Linked DNA regions of Arabidopsis thaliana. The protein of the gene in region 1 interacts with the protein of each later gene in a pairwise test. Each region holds a gene or a part of one and is shown in the gene's direction. Other genes may lie near its edges.

What was found. The genes of interacting proteins can lie anywhere in the genome.
Region 2: the proteins of PAO3 (region 1) and AT5G19920 interact in a two-hybrid assay, tested with the Arabidopsis thaliana proteins (one large-scale study listed by BioGRID).

What each region holds. Positions count from the first base shown.
Region 1 is NC_003074.8:21,823,348-21,829,572, reverse strand, and holds PAO3 (polyamine oxidase 3), read left to right. Parts: upstream 1-2,063; 5' UTR 2,064-2,399; coding exon 2,400-2,439; intron 2,440-2,594; coding exon 2,595-2,802; intron 2,803-2,896; coding exon 2,897-3,010; intron 3,011-3,102; coding exon 3,103-3,190; intron 3,191-3,279; coding exon 3,280-3,365; intron 3,366-3,457; coding exon 3,458-3,560; intron 3,561-3,647; coding exon 3,648-3,745; intron 3,746-3,824; coding exon 3,825-4,254; intron 4,255-4,341; coding exon 4,342-4,641; 3' UTR 4,642-4,877; downstream 4,878-6,225. Other genes in the region: PIL6 (phytochrome interacting factor 3-like 6), read left to right, coding at 1-596, 678-743, 837-1,187, 1,265-1,384; AT3G59040 (Tetratricopeptide repeat (TPR)-like superfamily protein), read left to right, coding at 5,654-6,046.
Region 2 is NC_003076.8:6,732,003-6,739,643, reverse strand, and holds AT5G19920 (Transducin/WD40 repeat-like superfamily protein), read left to right. Parts: upstream 1-2,147; 5' UTR 2,148-2,377; coding exon 2,378-2,560; intron 2,561-3,136; coding exon 3,137-3,866; intron 3,867-3,947; coding exon 3,948-4,104; intron 4,105-4,384; coding exon 4,385-4,429; intron 4,430-4,802; coding exon 4,803-4,968; intron 4,969-5,249; coding exon 5,250-5,620; intron 5,621-5,703; coding exon 5,704-6,022; 3' UTR 6,023-6,433; downstream 6,434-7,641. Other genes in the region: AT5G19930 (integral membrane protein (Protein of unknown function DUF92, transmembrane)), read left to right, coding at 361-509, 617-730, 1,011-1,233, 1,309-1,557, 1,641-1,772; MED31 (SOH1 family protein), read left to right, coding at 6,823-6,872, 6,952-7,049, 7,174-7,270, 7,365-7,443, 7,509-7,598.

The sequences.
Region 1 (6,225 bases):
TTCTTGACAACCAAGAAACAGTACAAAAGCCTAACTACGCTGCTCTAGATGATCAAGAAACCGTCTCCTGGATACAATACCCTCCGGATGACGTCATCGACCCTTTCGAATCCGAGTTCTCCTCTCATTTCTTCTCTTCGATCGATCACCTCGGAGGTCCTGAGAAGCCACGAACGATCGAAGAGACAGTTAAGCATGAGGCTCAAGCCATGGCTCCTCCTAAGTTTAGATCCTCGGTTATAACAGTCGGACCGAGTCATTGCGGCAGCAACCAGTCAACAAATATTCATCAGGCCACTACACTTCCGGTTTCTATGAGTGATAGAAGCAAGAACGTCGAAGAAAGACTTGACACTTCGTCAGGTGGCTCCTCCGGTTGCAGCTATGGAAGGAACAACAAAGAAACCGTTAGTGGAACAAGTGTAACCATTGACCGTAAAAGAAAACATGTTATGGATGCTGATCAAGAATCTGTGTCTCAATCAGATATAGGTTTGACCTCAACCGATGATCAAACCATGGGTAACAAATCGAGCCAACGGTCAGGATCTACTCGAAGAAGCCGTGCAGCTGAAGTTCATAATCTCTCAGAAAGGGTATACATATACTATTTCTGACTAGTTGATCAACCATTCAGTAATAATAATTCTGATGTGATCTTTGTCTATTAATTACAGAGGAGGAGAGATCGGATCAATGAAAGAATGAAAGCTCTTCAAGAACTCATACCTCACTGCAGCAGAGTAAGTTTTTTCATCACAAAAAAACTGAGTTAATTAAGCTGTAATTGATTGGTGTGTTTAAATATGGTTTTGTCTTCTTCTTTTTTTGTGTAGACAGATAAAGCTTCGATATTGGATGAAGCAATTGATTACTTAAAATCACTTCAAATGCAACTCCAAGTGATGTGGATGGGAAGTGGAATGGCGGCGGCGGCAGCAGCAGCAGCAAGTCCGATGATGTTTCCCGGGGTACAATCATCTCCATACATTAATCAGATGGCTATGCAAAGTCAGATGCAATTGTCTCAATTCCCGGTTATGAACCGGTCCGCTCCGCAGAACCATCCCGGTTTAGTATGTCAAAACCCGGTACAGTTGCAGCTCCAAGCACAGAACCAAATCTTATCGGAGCAGCTCGCTAGGTACATGGGCGGGATTCCCCAGATGCCGCCGGCGGGAAATCAGGTCAGTTGCAGACGGCATCGTTTTGAAGAAAGACAAATATATTTATTTAATATCTGACGTGTCATGTTTTAAATTAGATGCAGACCGTGCAACAACAACCAGCGGACATGTTGGGATTTGGATCTCCGGCGGGACCGCAAAGTCAACTGTCGGCACCGGCGACCACCGACAGTCTTCATATGGGTAAAATAGGCTGACTTGGCATATAGTTTTCCTCCGAAATTATTCTTCTTACAGTTGGTGATTGTTATTTATTTTTGGTCGCCTAAGCAAGCATAAAAGCTAAGTCAAATGTATTATAGAGATCTAATAAGTTAGTCTCATACTTATAACTTATTTTTAAACAGTTGAATTATAGTATCAATCAAGTGTTGGGAACCTAAAGATCATACATGTGTCAATACTTTTATATTTGTTCTCAAGGTTCATCAGAAAAACAAAATAAAAAGGATAGACTAGGCCTGCATTTGACATTATCATGGGCTTTTTTGGGTCTATGAATATGAACATTAACCCATATTACTGCTCAAAACGCATACGTTATACAAAAAACGGAAAACGCTAACGTGGTTTACTCCACCACGATTCGTACGTAACGACTAGCGAGTCCCATACCTACTCGATTTTTAGTTTCCTCAAGTTAACGGTGAAATCAAATTACCGATTATGTCCTTCTAAAGTGACACGTGTCTTACAAGAGGAGCGAGTTTATCCTAATCACATACTCGAGCGTGTAGGTTTCCGATTAAAGCGAAGCAGAAAAAAATTACTAAAATAATAAAAACGTATAGAATGTGATTAATTAAGTCAACCAATAAGCATCTTACAAATCAGCACTCTGAAAACAAACACGATTATTAATAGAAAAAGCTGCGACCCGACTCCTGAGCCTCTCTCTTTCTATCGCTCTTTGATTTTGTTTCTCATTGTTTTGCTTCAAATTACGCATTCGAATCTGATCTTCGTTGATCTCTGTGGAAGAAACAGATAAGAGAAAATCGCATGAATTTTTTTAGAAAACTAGGTTTTAATCCTTCGATTGCAAGCTACTTCACTAATACGAGTCTTCTGATCTCAATTCTTAGTTTTTCTCCTCAATTGCCGATTTCTCTCTTTCTTTTCGAGCAGAAATCGTTAGATCCTTTATCGCTGTGTAATAGTAGTACTAATTTTAATAATCTTGAGAGTAATTACTCCGTTCATTGTTGAATCATGGAGTCCGGAGGCAAAACTAATCGTCAGCTGCGTAAAGGTATCATCTTTACTTCTTATGATTTTTGTTTTTTTTATGAAATCTTAATACTTTGTCTGATAATGAATAAGTTATTCAGTTATATTACATGAATCCGAATTTTGTTATTTTCTGTTGTGCCCTGAACTGTTTCATATGTTGCGTTGGTGTTTCAGCTATTTGCGTCTCAACAGACGAGAAGATGAAGAAGAAGAGATCACCTTCAGTGATAGTGATTGGAGGTGGTATGGCTGGAATTTCAGCCGCTCGCACTCTTCAGGATGCTTCCTTTCAGGTTGTTGTATTGGAGTCTCGTGACAGAATTGGTGGACGAGTTCACACTGATTACTCATTTGGTTTTCCAGTTGATCTCGGTGCATCTTGGTAATATCATGGCTCCTTCAACCTATCTTTTTCACTGATTGCTGTTTGGATCTTTTGTCATCGATGCCAACTAAGCAATATCGTTTTGTGACAGGTTGCATGGTGTCTGTAAAGAGAATCCTTTGGCTGCAGTAATTGGTAGATTAGGATTACCTCTTTATCGTACTAGCGGTGACAATTCGGTTTTGTATGATCACGATCTTGAGAGGTGTGTACAACCGTTGTGGATATTCTAAATGTGTATATTAAGTAATCTTCTCTCTTTGTTGGAAACTCATGGCGCAATTATGTTTTCTGCAGTTATGCTCTGTTCGACAAGGCTGGTAACCAAGTTTCTCAAGAGTTGGTGACAAAAGTTGGCGAAAATTTTGAGCACATTCTGGAAGAGGTGTGTACTTGGTGTCCACTTTCTCTTTTATTATGTTTTATGGATGTTGCGCCTCTTTGATTTACTAAACAGTTGTTTCACAAATGCAGATCTGTAAAGTCAGGGATGAGCAGGACGAAGACATGTCAATAGCTCAAGCCTTTTCTATTGTATTTAAGAGGAACCCTGAATTGAGGTATGGAAACATATTGTCTCAACTCATTCCGTTGATTTGTTACTTATCCGCTTTTATATTTGTTGCATGCTTAATTAGATTTTCACTTATAGGTTGGAGGGACTTGCCCATAATGTGCTTCAGTGGTACTTGTGCCGCATGGAAGGATGGTTTGCTGCTGATGCTGAAACCATCTCGGCAAAGTGTTGGGATCAGGTTAGTAACTTAACTTCTATGTCTGTCCTCGGTTTAGTGGTTGAGGTATGTCCCCGTTTAGTGATTTGTTAATTGAAACATTCACAGGAAGAACTGTTGCCCGGTGGACATGGTCTTATGGTTAGAGGGTATCGCCCTGTAATCAACACTCTCTCGAAAGGTCTTGATATACGACTAAGTCACAGGTACGATTCATTTGTCGAAGGAGTTTCCACCATTTAACGAGTCTGCAGCTAAAACCTTATTGGACTTTTGTTTTGTCAGAATTACCAAGATTTCAAGGCGCTACAGTGGTGTGAAGGTGACTACAGAGAAAGGAGACACGTTTGTTGCGGATGCTGCAGTCATTGCTCTTCCTCTAGGAGTCTTAAAGTCAGGAATGATAACATTCGAACCAAAGCTTCCACAGTGGAAACAAGAAGCTATCAACGATCTCGGTGTTGGAATCGAGAACAAGATCATATTGAATTTTGACAACGTCTTTTGGCCAAACGTAGAGTTTTTAGGAGTCGTTGCAGAAACTTCCTACGGATGCAGTTATTTCTTGAACCTGCATAAAGCCACAAGCCATCCTGTCCTTGTTTACATGCCGGCTGGTCAGCTCGCTAGAGACATCGAGAAAAAGTCCGATGAAGCAGCTGCAAATTTTGCCTTTTCGCAACTACAGAAAATTCTTCCAGATGCCTCTTCACCGGTACTGCTCCAAACTACCTTTTCTTTCACCTGAGTTGCTATATTGTTTTGCCAATGTACAAGCTCTAATGGGGTTTTCTGTTGGCAGATAAATTATTTGGTATCAAGGTGGGGATCAGACATCAATTCATTGGGATCATATAGCTATGACATTGTGAACAAACCTCACGACCTCTATGAGAGACTGAGAGTGCCATTGGATAATCTATTCTTTGCGGGGGAAGCCACTAGCTCAAGCTACCCGGGATCAGTGCACGGTGCTTATTCAACCGGAGTGCTGGCAGCTGAAGACTGCAGGATGCGTGTGCTTGAGCGCTATGGAGAGCTCGAACATGAGATGGAAGAGGAAGCTCCTGCTTCTGTCCCTCTTCTGATCTCCCGTATGTAATTTAAACCTCAGGTGTTTTATATCACCTCCATATGGGAACATTGTTAGATTTGATTTTATGAGATTTCACTAGTTGGAACTCTTGTGCCTATTCAATACCACTCTTTTTTCCTTCAAATCTGATTCAGATCTTTAGTCGAAGTCAAATGTGCAATGTGGAGTATGTAATCCATCTGATATAAGAACTATGTTTAAGTATCAGTGCCAAATGCAAACTTCAAATGAAGCTTTCTTTTACACAGCATGGTCAAAGCCTATCCTTTCTTTGGTATCATATCCTTAAAGGACCAATATAAATCAAAGACAAAAGATCATCTTTCTTTCTGACTTTACAAATCGATGCAATCATTAGTTCATTACCTTACACAATTCGAGACTACACGAGTCTTCTTTCTTCTTCACATCAGCTAAATATTGAAGCAAATCAGCAATTGCTCTTAAACATGTCGTATGGCCGTGTAAATAGCAGGTGCTCAGAGGGGCATCATTGTCAATTTTCCATGAAACCCCGCCTCTAATTACTGAATTAAATTTTGAGTTAAAAAAGGGTTTATAATGCTATTGAAGACTTGAAGTAGTATTAAGAAAAAATAAAAAATTATCCACTTTGAAGTTTTAACTTTTAAAGGATAAGAGAAGAGTAGCTTTCTTCTTCTTCCTCTCGGCTACTGCGACAGAGAAGAAGCTGCGAACTTTAAATGTCACAGGCTGTAATTTTCAAGCCGTTTGTTTCAGTTCCATCAAGTAATCACAGGTTTCCTTTTCTCCTTCCTTTCTACTTTTTACTTCTTAACCTTTTTGGAACAGCTTTCATTTTGGACTTTGCTTTTGTTCTTGAGTTTTCTTTCGTTTTCAATTGACGGGTTCGATAATTCTATGGAAAAGGGACCGCCTTTCAAAATTTCTACAAAAATCCGTGTTGGGTTTCGTCTAATTCAATTGATTGTGTAAGCTTTTTAGCAGCTGTGTCCAAATGGGTTTATCATCTGAGGCTTAGCTACTGCTAGGGTTTATGTTCTTTTCGTTTAGGCTATTAAAAGTTTTGGTTTTTCATTTACAAATTCGTCCATGTGTTTTGCTTTGTGTCAGCCAGAGGAAACTACAGAACAATATTATCAATGTTGGTGTTAAAATCCAAAACCGATTCAGAGTTGTTTGTATGGGAATGTTGGCTCCAAGGAAATTCCTGCAAAAGAGGAGGAAAATGGAGGTTTTCAAGGATGCAGCTGACGAGACGGATCAGAAGAGATGGAGAGGGCTTATGCTAGAGATTGAATCGACGGGTTCTGCTGTTCCGGTGCTTAGGCAATACAAAACTGACGGTGACCAAGGTCTTCCAAGGGATCTTGTTTTGGGTACTTTGGTTAGATTTAAGCAGCTTAAGAAATGGAACCTTGTCAGTGAGGTATGTGGAGAATGAATGACTCCCTTTTCTGTTTTGATACTTTTAGATACAATTGAGAATCTGAAAAGAATTGGACCCTTTAAGTATATATCTCCATGTTAGATTGGCTGGAAAGAATTTCATGAACTTAGTCTTGAATCTTGATTGAGAAATTAGATGAGTCATCTTAATCTACTTTT
Region 2 (7,641 bases), on another chromosome or scaffold:
AGAGAGGGAATACGGATATTGTGATTTAAGTGGTGCCACGTCATAGTAGAAATCGATACTGGGGCCCATAGCTCAATCGGTGATTGGATTCTCTCCCGCGTTATCTCGTCTGTCCCATTCCGCAAATCTAATAAATGGCCCACGACTACATGGTCTAGATTAGATTAATATTTGTTTTAGCAAATCTATTGGGTCAGCCCATTTGAGGCCCATGTTTTGAGACCAGGTCCGAGCCTGCGTAACTAACATGTAACCAACACTTGAAATACATCAAATCAGTGAAGACGTTGGGGTCAACTACCCTCTCCCCGACGCTGAACTGAATCTTCGTCGTCAACAGATTCTCCGCCACTGGAAGAAATGGAAACGTCGCCGCAATTCAGACTTATCTTCGCCGTAATCATTTCTTCTCTCATCGCTTTCCGATCGTACAAGCGGAAGTCGCTCGATCTCTCCGGTGGAATTGCTGGATTCCTCGTTATGACCATTCACTTCACCGCCGGTTTCAGGTTTCTTCTCCTGTTTTTGAGATTTTATCTGTTATCTTTTTCGTTGAGAAATTGTTTTCAATCGTTTCCCGACGGGTTTGATCGGATTAATCTGCTGAATCTGAAAGGTACGGAGCTCTGCTGCTTGTATTCTTTCTTACTTCCTCGAAACTTACCAAAGTTGGCGAAGATAAAAAAAGACGCGTTGATGTTGAGTTCAAAGAAGGTGGACAAAGGAACTGGTACATTTCCTTTCTTTCTTTCTTCGTTTTTTTGTAGGCTCCGATTTTTGAAATTGTGAATTGTCTTTGAGAGTCTTTGATCAAGGAGGGGGAATGAACTCTAGATCTTTGAGAGTCTATAGTGAATAGCATTTAGTCTTACTTTCAACATCGTGTTGGTCGGTAACATGAAATTAATTTTCCATTGACATATTAGCAAATGATTTCACTTTCAGAAGTTGTTATTTATGACCAACAAAAGGTTGTTTTGACAGAAGATTCCTCAAATATCTTGTTTCAGGGTACAAGTGCTATGCAATAGTGGAATTGCTTCAGTTCTAGTTGTAATTGCTTGTACTTTAACGGGTTGGAAGGACAAGTGTTTGGACTCGAAGCAGTCAGAAATTGTAACAGCTCTTATTGGTGGGATCATTGGTCATTACGCCTGCTGTAATGGAGACACTTGGTCCTCAGAGCTTGGGGTTCTTAGTGATGCCCAGCCTCGACTAATCACAACGTTTAAGGTTTGTCCTGTTCCTTTTTTTGCAAGTCGCTAATGAACTTTGTCTGTTTCGCTTAACGTTTGGTCTCACTCACAGCCGGTGAAGAAGGGCACAAATGGTGGAGTTACAAAGGCAGGACTCTTAGCTGCCTTGGCAGCAGGCACCACTGTTGGATTAACATTCCTTATCTTCGGACTCTTTACCGCGAGTTGTGCAAGTGATGTAGCTCTAAAGCAACTCTTAGTCATACCACTCTCTGCACTAGCTGGACTATGTGGGAGTCTTATTGATTCTATACTAGGAGCAACCATTCAATTCAGTGGTTTCTGCTCTGTCCGGAACAAGGTAAAGTCTAAAAGAACATACATGTAAATACATATGTAGGATCGAGGGAAAAGAGTAGTTGACTGAATTTATGCATGGTGCAGGTTGTAGGGAAACCGGGTCCAACCGTAAAGAAGATTTCAGGTGTGGACATTCTTGACAACAATGGTGTGAACTTTGTCTCCATACTCTTGACATCTTTTCTGACTTCCATTGCTTCTGTGTACATTTTCTGAATGATGAAGCTACCAACCTGTTTTCTTGACTAGACTGTTTTAGATTTTCACCTTTTGCATGCCAAATTTGGTATACAAACATACTTTGATTTTATTTCTTAAATTGTTCATTTTGTTGTATGCTGAAATGAGAGTTTTAAGTTCATAGAAAACTTTGATCAAAAAAAAAAAAAAAAAAAAGTTCATAGAACACAGTCTCTTTTATGTTCAGTACAATAATCACAGCTACCAATGTAACTGAACATGTATTTGTTGTTTTGTTTAAGAGATGTATCACTGTGCTTCCGTCAAAGACCTCAATACTCGAATAAACTATAGGATTTTTTTTTAATATAAACAAAAAAAAAGGACACGCGATTTTTTTTTTTTTTTTTTCCACAAAGAATTTTTGCGAATCTGTGTTTACACTTTACACACTCTGGTTTTGTCAATGAGAGCACGGGAGCTGCACACGACTACATAAGCCCTAGTAAGTGAAGCGGCAAAACCGGAAAAGTTAAAAACATGAGGTTCCAAAATTGAAAAGACGAGAGGGAAAAAGCAATCCCCACTACGCACGATCGGGCGGGAATAAAAGGGTGGGAAGAAGACGAACCGAGTCTGCAATGGCTACGACGGCGATGAATAAACCTAAAATTGAACAAGGGGAAGAAGTAGAAGTAGAAGCAGAAGCGAGAACGTTCTCGACTCAAATCCCAGATGATAGAGAAGCTCTTTTAGAGTTTATGGACCAGCGTGCCAAATCAATCCAACGCCTTAAAGACCAAATCTCAAGTTTGGATAGGAAGGTCTCTTCTTTCTTCTTCATTTTTTTCGTTTTCTTTGTTTGGCTAATTCGGCGATGTGTTCTTCAGATTTTGGAATCTGTATCGCTTATTGTGTACTTCACTGAAAGTAGCGTTTCTCCGGGGTTTTTAGTTGCTCTTCTTGTTTCAATTTGAGTTCAATTTTATGCAAATTGCAGCTTTTCATATTCAGTCACCTCTACAGTATTCAAATGTCTAGGTTTAATTTCAGAAGTTTCCTTTGATCAATTTGTTTTTGTAGCTGATTTCTGTTGTGTTTCATTTAATCTCCATTTGCAGTTTTCAGATTCGATGCAGCTTATTGTATAGTTTTGTTGATTTGGGCATTTGCATTTGTTAGTTCACAGCTTTTAGGATTTTCCCATTTTGATTTTCTGTTATCGTTTCAATTGGAGTTCATTGCCATCTTCTTGCTGATAATTTTAAAGGACACCTAATAGAAACTCAAAAGTTTCCAGCTTTTTGTTTTCTCATGTTCTGCGTATATCTTCCCTTGGAATGTGCAAGCGAGAGTCTTACTGTTTGGTCTTCTTCTTAAAACTTCTGATGTATCTGCAGCTTGCTGAAGAGAGAAAACTGATGGCAGATGCGGAGGCTAAATTTTTACAAATTGATCGTGTTGGAAATGGTATCTTTTCTAAGTCAAAACCAAAAGCGCCTGGTAAAACTGGAAGTATACTTGGTATAGCAGAGTTCTGGAACGAGGGAAATAAGACGAAGACTGCCAATGAAAACTCTACTCCACAATCACCTAGTGAGATGGAATCCTTGAAATTGCCATCCATTATCTTACCGCCTTCTTTTAAACGAAGAGCTTCTGCTACCGTCAGAGCTGAAGTAAATGAGACCACCCAAGCTCAACCCATGGCTACAAGGGATTATAACATTCCAAGGGAAGACACATGTGGCCCCGAGGCCAAGAGACCTCGTAGTATTCCTGATGAAGTGGTAAGGGAAACCCAAGATCGAGATAAGGAAACTCAACCCATGGCTACGAGGGGTTATGATGTTCCAAAAGAAGATAAAAGTGGCCCTGAGGCCAGGAGATTGCGGAGTATTCCTGATGAAGTGGTGAGGGAATCCCAAGGTCGAGATAACGCAGCTCAGCCCATGGCTACAAGGGATTCTAATGTCCCAAAGGAAGACAAAAGTGGTCTTGACAAGAGATCTCGTAGTATTCCTAATGAAGTTGCTCAAGCTCCAGATAACCACACTAATAAGGATTTGGCAAAGCCAAGGATCAGAGTTTCTTCTAACATTTCTCAACAAGGACAACAGGAAAAATCTGGTAAAAGCCATTCATTTGGTCGATTTGCCACATCTTACCTTCTCATTGCTCTGAATCTATTGTTTCTTTTGTTCTTTACAGAATTCCGAGGACATGATGAGTTGATAGCACTTATAGGTAGAAGCTCTTTGCGTCCCACAATTGAAGGCCGTACTGCCGGCATGCTACCAAGTTGCCACACGAAAAGAATGAGAAGTCTTGCTCTTTCTCCTTCCAACCGTGAGCTATTTGCTACAAGGTGCTTTTTTACATTATTTATGTTTTTCTCTTTTCCAAAAGTGAATAGAAGATGCTACCTAAATTATTATCTGCCATTCTCCTGGATGAAATTCGGTCTCATAACTGTCGCTTGGGGCTTTGTCTGGATTTTTTACTAAGGAAATGATATTATATGCATAAGAGGGAATCATGGAACCAAGAAAGTCATTGGTCAATTAGCTAACCTAATATACTCTCGACTCATGTGCTTAATCTTTTTCTTTTCCCTCTCTTGATTTTGGTTTTTGGTTATGCTTCAGTGCATTGGATGGGGCTGTTCATTTCTGGAAGCTTCAGTCTGATAGGTAAGTCTCCTGTAAATATGCCTGATCTACTGATTATGATATTTCTTTCTGATTTCTTGGGGGTTTAAATGGTTTTAGGAGGGGTTATTGGATTATTCAACTTCAAATCCATATAGAATTCCTTGATTTTCATATGTATCAGAAATTTTAATTATGTATTTCTAGTTCCAGTTGACATCACCTTCATCCATCCACGTGATAAGTAGGCGAAATTTAGTTTCACTTATATTTGTCAACAAGCTGCAACGTTTAGTTGTACATGATCTTAAGAGATAGAGTTTTGTACAATTTTTTCTACTCTTATTTTCGTGAACATTTTAATCTGAATTTCGTTGGATACTAACCTATCCATCATGCTTTCACCATTGAGCAGGTCCACCGCTACTTTGTTTAAGACGGTTAATCGGGTAGCAGTAGATCAGAAGAAATGGGCAGAAGATATAGCTTGGCATCCACATAAGAATGCACTTTTCTCCGTGTATACTGCAGATGATGGTCACCCTCAGATATCAGCCATATATCTGAATGAAGCTGGAGAGGTAAAAGTATATGAATGCTGTAGCACATTCTAGCGTTTTACCATATTAAATTTGCGATTGGACATTCATGAGTGGAGTGTGTGCTTAAACTTGTAGAAAGTTAACTTGGTCTTCATAACCTGTTAGAAAGAAAAAAATCAATATAGCTGGAATAATTGGGAATTTGATTCGACCCTTGACTTATCTACTAGTTGTAAGATCTAACTTGATGGTTATAGTCTTTTATCCTTGGGGAAGTTAGTTATGTGCTCATTTCTTTTTGGATATCTGTTCATCTGCAGAGATGTGAGTCGCAATTTATGGAGGACAGGCCTCATAGCAAAGGTCTTATCAACAGAATCATGTTTACGCCTTGGGATGATCCTTGCTTCATCACAGGTGGGAGTGACCATGCAGTAGTGTTATGGCGGGATCAGTGTGAGAATAATGCGTGGAAGCCGACGCTTCTGCATAGGGACTTGCATTCGTCGGCTGTGATGGGAGTTACTGGAATGCGCCATAACAATCACGTCTTGTCATGTGGAGACGATAGGAGATTTGTTGGGTTTGATGCCCGAGAAGAAAAAGTCACATTTAAACATAGACTAGACAACAGATGCACAAATATAATGCCAAACCCGCGAGATGTTAATCTTGTCATGGTTAACACGAGGTAAAACTGACTCTTGATTTATATATATCCCAGAAGAAGCGATTGCCTTAAAGTCCGTTCTTTTGCTTGTGTTGTGTTTGCAGGCAGCTAGACCGGCAACTGCGGTTGTATGATGTTAGATTGCCTCAGACAGAACTATTTTCTTTTGGGTGGAAGCAAGAAAGCAGTGAATCGCAGTCGGCTCTAATTAATCAGTCTTGGTCTCCAGATGGTTTACACATCTCATCTGGTTCTGCAGACCCCGTGATCCACATCTTTGATATCCGATACAATGCACCGAGCCCGTCTCTCTCGATGAAAGCTCATAAGAAAAGAGTGTTCAAAGCCGAGTGGCACTCTTCTTATCCGCTGCTCGTCTCCATCTCATCAGATTTAGCAATTGGGATTCACAAGCTATGGTGAAAACTTGTAAAGCCATCACCTGAATTTGAAGGCCATTAACTTCTGAAACAGAACTTGTCTTGGCAAGTTGGCACAAGGTGTTGATTGGCAAGTAAGAACTGAGTACAGCACGCAGGCTGGATACGAAAACTGTCTTGGGAGTTGCATAGGTCAGTCCAGGGTCTGATGGCTCTTGTCTTTTGATTTTTTTTTTTAACTGTGGGAAACTCTAGCTTTTTAGCTGTCACATTTTGCGGGGATTACAACATTACAATGTACAGTATACATTTTTGAGGGCCAACTCATTGGAGCCAAATGTCCTCAGATTTTCTGTCTGCTATAATCCTCAACCATAGTTAGCATGACAAAGAGTTGCAACATCTATATCGATTGGTCACAAAAAAACTTTTGTATGATTGCATAAAGATTCCGGTCCATGTTTCAAAATTCAAGATTTGTCCTTGTGATTCATAATCTTGAGATAAGTAAGAAAGAGATTCATAACATGACTAAAAATGCCACCAAGTGAATCTTTGAATGTAAAGTAACTCCAAGTTTGGGCAGAGACTTCTCCATCTGCTACCGAGTATAACGGTTCTTTTAAGACCGCTTCTTGTGGAAAAAAAAAAAAAAAGACCGCTTCTTAAACCGTAATTTTGTACTAATTTTCCAATCTCTTTTTCTATTTGCATTCAGAACCGGTTTAGGCCTTTGGTTTATAACCAAAATTCAATTCAGAAATCAGAACCAAAATCCTCCGTCTACCTCCGTCTGATTCCTCTATTGGGAGAATCCAAATTTGCTTCAGGTTCCGTTCGTTCATGGCTTCGCCAGAGGAGATGGGTGATGATGCATCAGAAATTCCATCCCCGTGAGTGCATCTTCTTCCTCTTGTACACTTTCATATTCTTCAAATCTGCTCTTTTATTATCTAATTCGCATCTCTACAGGCCAAAAAACACTTACAAGGATCCCGACGGTGGAAGGCAACGATTCTTACTGGAACTTGAATTTATTCAATGTCTCGCCAATCCTACTTACATCCACTGTAAGTTTAGAATTCGTTCTATGGCTTAGGGTTTTAGTGTTCGAAATTGAGATTTAAAAAGGGATTTGTTCTAAGGCTTAGGGTTTGTACTTACCACATTCTGCTTTTGGTTACTGTTTGGCAGACCTGGCACAGAATCGGTATTTTGAAGATGAAGCATTTATTGGATACTTGAAGTATCTTCAATACTGGCAGCGACCAGAGTACATCAAGTTCATTATGTAAGTTGGAATATCTTATGGAATTGGTGTAGTCTTGTAGAGTCTTGTGAAGGTTTGGATAATATATCTTTGGTTTCCTATGTTCTTGTTACAGGTACCCACACTGCCTATATTTCCTTGAACTTCTTCAAAACCCCAACTTCAGGACTGCTATGGCTCATCCTGCAAACAAGGTACAAGAATACGATATGAATCATCAAGTGAAATCAGCATGTTAGTGAGCATTGTGAATAGGGAGTGGTTCAAAATGTTAGGGTACTGGTGTTTTTGGAATGTGTTTTGGGGACTTGTAGAGTTTAGGGTCTCTCTAGTACAAAACCTTGCTTACGTTCTGCTAGTTTGGTTCTGTGATTCTGCGTTTATGCCCATCT